Linked DNA regions of Xenopus tropicalis. The protein of the gene in region 2 purifies or fractionates together with the protein of the main gene of each other region. This does not show direct contact. Links are inferred from orthologs where the notes say so. Each region holds a gene or a part of one and is shown on either strand. Other genes may lie near its edges.

Region 1 (4,084 bases), on a different chromosome or scaffold from region 2:
TGGGATAGCAGGTATAGTAGGGAGAGATGGTGCCTATAGTAGCAGTGGGGGGATAATAGCCTCTGGGAAGGGACTGGGGCTGTGGGATAGCAGGTATAGTAGGGAGAGATGGTGCCTATAGTAGCAGTGGGGGGATAATAGCCTCTGGGAAGGGACTGGGGCTGTGGGATAGCAGGTATAGTAGGGAGAGATGGTGCCTATAGTAGCCGTGGGGGGATAATAGCCTCTGGGAAGGGACTGGGGCTGTGGGATAGCAGGTATAGTAGGGAGAGATGGTGCCTATAGTAGCAGTGGGGGGATAATAGCCTCTGGGAAGGGACTGGGGCTGTGGGATAGCAGGTATAGTAGGGGGAGATGGTGCCTATAGTAGCCCCAGTTCTACTCATTTACTGGTCGGTACAACTATACTATTCAATTTTTTTTTCTCCCTGAGAGTACTGACTTTGGCACATATCTAGATATGAGAGGTTACTACACCTTTACTACATGTACCAAGCCTTTGCTATTATTACTGTACATATATCACTTGCTCCTGGTAGTAGTGGCTCATACTAACGCGTTACTCCGGGTTCTACTCACCCCCTGCCCCGGGCAGCCCAGCACTTGCCCTGCAGGTAGAGGCGACAAAGATGCAGCTTGTCGCACTCCTTCTCCTCTTCCTTCTGTTTCAGGTAGTCGGGGCAGATTCGCATAGCGGTCCGGGCCAACACCAGATCCCCCGATACGGAGAAGCGATGCGGCTCCTCTTGGAGAATCTGCTCGATCTGCTCCGGGGGCAGTTGCAGGAGGTCCCCCAGCTGGGAGCGGCGGAGGCGGCCCTCATGGTTGCAGAGGAGGCTGGTGAGGTAGGAGCTCACTCTGGGGTCGGACATGGCTCTGGCACCGGGGGAAGCGAGTTCCGCCTTTAGTGTATAGAGCGCCTCCTACCTGCCCCGGACTGAGGGAGAAACGAAACTGAAACAGGGGGCGGGGCAAAGAGAGTAGCGACGTCATCAGTATGCCGGTCCCTCCATACAAAATCCGCCCTCACAGAGTAGTTCGCATCCATAAATCGTGAAAGAAACAACCATTCAAATGCAGAGACTCCCACATATTGGTACAAACCCGCCAAGGTACAGGTTTGGGCTATATTTTGGAGCCTTTTACTTTGGAAACTAGCCAAAGTTGTGTTTCCCTCTAGTGTGCCTATCCCACTGCATGCTGGGTAATGTAGTTTGTATTTAATAATTAGCCTACAGCTAGGATTGATATAAAACTACAATACCCAGCATGCAATTGGACAGTATAGACAGAGGTTCCTATTTCTATTCCATTCAGGCTCAACCTGCTCCCTGCTCTATAGGGTATGTGATTGTACTGTTACTTTCTACTGGGATGTGGGGCAGTTCTACCCCCTGCTCTATAGGGTATGTGATTGTACTGTTACTTTCTACTGGGATGTGGGGCAGTTCTACCCCCTGCTCCCTGCTCTATAGGGTATGTGATTGTACTGTTACTTTCTACTGGGATGTGGGGCAGTTCTACCCCCTGCTCTATAGGGTATGTGATTGTACTGTTACTTTCTACTGGGATGTGGGGCAGTTCTACCCCCTGCTCCCTGCTCTATAGGGTATGTGATTGTACTGTTACTTTCTACTGGGATGTGGGGCAGTTCTACCCCCTGCTCCCTGCTCTATAGGGTATGTGATTGTACTGTTACTTTCTACTGGGATGTGGGGCAGTTCTACCCCCTGCTCTATAGGGTATGTGATTGTACTGTTACTTTCTACTGGGATGTGGGGCAGTTCTACCCCCTGCTCTATAGGGTATGTGATTGTACTGTTACTTTCTACTGGGATGTGGGGCAGTTCTACCCCCTGCTCTATAGGGTATGTGATTGTACTGTTACTTTCTACTGGGATGTGGGGCAGTTCTACCCCCTGCTCTATAGGGTATGTGATTGTACTGTTACTTTCTACTGGGATGTGGGGCAGTTCTACCCCCTGCTCCCTGCTCTATAGGGTATGTGATTGTACTGTTACTTTCTACTGGGATGTGGGGCAGTTCTACCCCCTGCTCTATAGGGTATGTGATTGTACTGTTACTTTCTACTGGGATGTGGGGCAGTTCTACCCCCTGCTCTATAGGGTATGTGATTGTACTGTTACTTTCTACTGGGATGTGGGGCAGTTCTACCCCCTGCTCCCTGCTCTATAGGGTATGTGATTGTACTGTTACTTTCTACTGGGATGTGGGGCAGTTCTACCCCCTGCTCTATAGGGTATGTGATTGTACTGTTACTTTCTACTGGGATGTGGGGCAGTTCTAGCCCCTGCTCCCTGCTCTATAGGGTATGTGATTGTACTGTTACTTTCTACTGGGATGTGGGGCAATTCTACCCCCTGCTCCCTGCTCTATAGGGTATGTGATTGTACTGTTACTTTCTACTGGGATGTGGGGCAGTTCTACCCCCTGCTCTATAGGGTATGTGATTGTACTGTTACTTTCTACTGGGATGTGGGGCAGTTCTACCCCCTGCTCCCTGCTCTATAGGGTATGTGATTGTACTGTTACTTTCTACTGGGATGTGGGGCAGTTCTACCCCCTGCTCCCTGCTCTATAGGGTATGTGATTGTACTGTTACTTTCTACTGGGATGTGGGGCAGTTCTACCCCCTGCTCTATAGGGTATGTGATTGTACTGTTACTTTCTACTGGGATGTGGGGCAGTTCTACCCCCTGCTCTATAGGGTATGTGATTGTACTGTTACTTTCTACTGGGATGTGGGGCAGTTCTACCCCCTGCTCTATAGGGTATGTGATTGTACTGTTACTTTCTACTGGGATGTGGGGCAGTTCTAGCCCCTGCTCCCTGCTCTATAGGGTATGTGACTGTACCATTACTTTCTACTGGGATGTGGGGCAGTTCTACCCCCTGCTCCCTGCTCTATAGGGTATGTGATTGTACTGTTACTTTCTACTGGGATGTGGGGCAGTTCTACCCCCTGCTCCCTGCTCTATAGGGTATGTGATTGTACTGTTACTTTCTACTGGGATGTGGGGCAGTTCTACCCCCTGCTCTATAGGGTATGTGATTGTACTGTTACTTTCTACTGGGATGTGGGGCAGTTCTACCCCCTGCTCTATAGGGTATGTGATTGTACTGTTACTTTCTACTGGGATGTGGGGCAGTTCTACCCCCTGCTCCCTGCTCTATAGGGTATGTGACTGTACCATTACTTTCTACTGGGATGTGGGGCAGTTCTACCCCCTGCTCCCTGCTCTATAGGGTATGTGATTGTACCGTTACTTTCTACTGGGATGTGGGGCAGTTCTACCCCCTGCTCCCTGCTCTATAGGGTATGTGATTGTACTGTTACTTTCTACTGGGATGTGGGGCAGTTCTGCCGTTGATCCTTAAGCTATAACTTTCAGGATATCTTGGGGCTGCTGGGAGTTGTAGTTCAACGCACCCATATGTATATCATGTCTGGGGTTAATGCAACATCATCTAGTGGACTGGGCACAGAGGGAATTATCAGCCATCCCAGTAACTGGAGAGGGGGCACAGGGCTTGGGTAGTGATTATACACTTTAAGGTATGGAGATCCAAATTATGGAAAGATCCCTTATTCGGAAAACCCCAGGTCCCGAGCATTCTGGATAACAGGTCCCATACCTGTACCATCTTTGTCTGCATAAATAAACCAGTTGTTAATTAGTTCATCAAGAGCTTCTGGTGTCCGTTTGCTTAATTACTGCATTTTACGCTTACACGTTGCAGTGGGAGGTGTAGTTGCACAACACCCTCCATATAGAAACTTCCCCTTAGTGAAGGCCCATCCTGCTGAAGAGGATTCCAATGTATCCCATGCTCTACCCATAGCTGGAATTTGTCTACTTTAGCCAAAAAGGGGTTAAACACAGACTGCCAGTCCGGGCTGTCAGCCAGTGCCTATGGGATGCCCCTACCTCTATTTATAAAAATAGATCACATGATGTGTTCCCTTCCTGACACAGAGCCCATGGCCCTGTAACTCCTCCCCCTGGGCTTTTGCTGCCTATAGAAAAGCAGCACAGGGGAATATGCAGATGAAGAGGGCGGC
Region 2 (2,795 bases):
AGGGGAATTAACATTACACAGGCATATGCCGCTAATTTTACACCAATTTTTGGGAGAAAAATGAGCGTGTTTTTATAAAGGTGCAATTTGTTATTCATTTACATAAGAGTTACAGATGCTTCAGCTCGCTAAAAAACATGAAAACATGAACATTGCTCTTGATCAAGTACCATTTGCAGGTTCAACCTGAAACTGCTGCATTCTAGGCTGAAGGCATATGGGGCGAATATCGGTTCAGCACCCAAAACTGCTCTGGGCAACTTCCACTGACCTTAATTAGATCTGCCCATAGGTGCTACTGCTCTTGGCCTGACAACCTTTCTAGCACATTTTCAGGTTGAGAATGGTTGGGCAGTTCACATAATGGCCAGCAGGGCTGATAAACGCCAGCGTAATGTCCCCTAACCCTTAAAGCTGCAAAACAATTAAATGAACCTGACTGAATTTGGGTTCCACATACACAGACAACCACTCCAATACATTCATATGTTATATTAAAAGAAGCACCTCATTTGGGGTTTTTTTTTTTTTTTATACATGAGGGAAGTGTATAATCATATACGAAATGAAAAATAACACGGAGGAAGTTGTTGAAAGGCTATTGCCAAGTTGCCACGGTGGGCACAACCACGCAGGAATTTCTGCTTCTGATCCAATCCGTAGAAGGCTCAGTTCTCTGAAATAGACCGCACTAATGCTTCATTCATCATTGCTTCTTCATCGGCGCTGTAATCCTTATGGAAAAAGGAAGGGTTTGGATTAAGAGATTCTAATTCCCCCACTACCTACCACTGTATATGTATCAGCAGTGTAACAAATGCCTCTCTGCAGAGTTAGTTTATTACAGTGTATCCTAAGCCAGTTATAATAATCAGGTGCAAAAGCTAACTAGTTGCTAGGAGTTACTGGAGGGGGTTAAAGCTGGCCATACACATAAAAATCAGCTCATTTCTGTCCTATTGTGTGGCTCTTGAGCCAAACAGTTGGATCACAACCATGGGAATGCAGGCTTTTGGGGCAAGGATTTTTTAACCAGCCTGATTATTCAGCCAAAAATCAGTTGGGCAAGCCAAATAAGCTGGAATGACTAAAGGTGGCCATACATGTAACAATTGCCATCTTTCGTAATCTTTCGCTCTTTAAGATCGTTTGTACCCTCTATTGACATTGAGGGCTGAATAGTCAGATCAGGAGGTAAAAACAACAGGAATTCACCCTTAAATGCAGCTTTTGTCCCGCCCGATTGACAAGACGACAGATATCTAAGGCTTTTGCAATATCAGTTGTCTCGTCGATCCAACATGCACCGAATATCATATGAAACATAGTTTCGTACGATATTATCGCGCGTGTATGGCCGACTTATGTCTGCAGCTTTTATCGTCCAGGGTATGGCCACTCCCATTCCCCACACATTGCTTCATATCCATTATGCACACACATGATGATACTCTAACATCATGTCACTGTAATGGTGTTCCCCCAGCCTGATACATACCACAAAGGTGTCATAGGAGAAACGATGCCTGCGATGAATGTGCTCTATGAAGTTGGCGCTCCTGTAACCTGGATCTCCCCATGGCATGGAGGCACAGATTGGGCAAACCTAATGGAACAAGAGAAAGATTAAGTCATGGTTAAGTTACAGCACCACCAGTTTTACTGTTAATCAAATGACAATTATCACTTATATGTTGGTAACTTAATGTGTTATATCCAAAGCATCGAACTGAGCAAATTGAATGCAAATACATATACCAAACTGCAGAGCTGTTGTTTGATACCCACAGTGCAACACAAAAATAGAGTGATAAAATTTGCCTAAAAAAAAAATATGGTCAATTTTTGTGCCTTTTAAATTTTGCCTAATTAAAAACCTAATATTTCATTTATTCTTTTGTTATGGGGAAGGCTATATGATGATGACGATGATTATTATTATCAAGCTATTTAGCCCCTCATCTATTTACTTTCTGTCATGTCATTCCAACCAAAGCCTGGTTACTGGGTATGCGATACCTTAGCAACTGGACAGAAACTAATACAATTGTATATGGTTTGAGTGGATAAAACAAGGGTACCCCGAGATGTTTTATTGAAATGTTACTGCTTTGCAAGGCTGAGCCACTTCCTCTGACAATATGGACACTGGAGGTTAGCTTGTCAAAGCCACTGCCACAAACAAACACAATTATGCCGATATATAATGTACAGTAAACAAATGACAGCTAAATCTTATTCCATACTTGGGTATAAACAATTTTTCTTAAGACAGAGCCAAACGCGAGTGTTCCAGTAGCAGCAATACAATAGTCCCGTCATCAACTCACCACAGGCGTTGGATCGCTCATGTGAAACCTCTTGCAGTGATCCACTAATCCTTCCTGAGCAAGGTTCTGTTCCTGGCAGTAGGGGCAAGTAAAGGTGAAGCGGTTTGGGACATCACTGTGGGAAGGAAGATGAAGTACAATCATTTAAATGCCTTAAGATCTACATATGGAGGATAAAAAGGACGTATTGGAAAAGGAATGTTCTGGTCACTACTGTGTGGAAAACATACTCACCCAGTTTCCTGGGAGTGGCTCTTTTTGACAGCCTTAATTCCATTCATGACATATTTATCATATTTGGTACAGGCAGCGAAGTGTTCACGCATTTTTGAAAGTTTCACCTGCAGGTTGCAAGGAACCTAGGTCATTTCCTATAATAATAATAACACACCAGACACACAAGTACTTCTGCTATGCTGTTACTTTCAGTACCCAGAGATCCCCCTCAATCCCACAGCTATTTTT

The links.
Region 1: the proteins of rnf114 (region 2) and protein mono-ADP-ribosyltransferase PARP12 purify together in Homo sapiens (affinity purification with mass spectrometry; 3 studies listed by BioGRID and IntAct, counting the BioPlex papers as one, with this or other methods). This does not show direct contact. The link is inferred for Xenopus tropicalis from reciprocal best matches to the Homo sapiens genes RNF114 and PARP12.

What each region holds. Positions count from the first base shown.
Region 1 is NC_030679.2:8,065,930-8,070,013, reverse strand, and holds the start of protein mono-ADP-ribosyltransferase PARP12, read left to right. Parts: upstream 1-1,270; 5' UTR 1,271-1,343; intron 1,344-4,084. Other genes in the region: zinc finger CCCH-type antiviral protein 1, read right to left, coding at 580-872.
Region 2 is NC_030686.2:36,181,153-36,183,947, reverse strand, and holds the end of rnf114 (E3 ubiquitin-protein ligase RNF114), read right to left. Parts: intron 2,672-2,795; coding exon 2,565-2,671; intron 2,446-2,564; coding exon 2,331-2,445; intron 1,607-2,330; coding exon 1,499-1,606; intron 735-1,498; coding exon 669-734; 3' UTR 557-668; downstream 1-556. UniProt on the Homo sapiens protein: E3 ubiquitin-protein ligase that promotes the ubiquitination of various substrates. In turn, participates in the regulation of many biological processes including cell cycle, apoptosis, osteoclastogenesis as well as innate or adaptive immunity.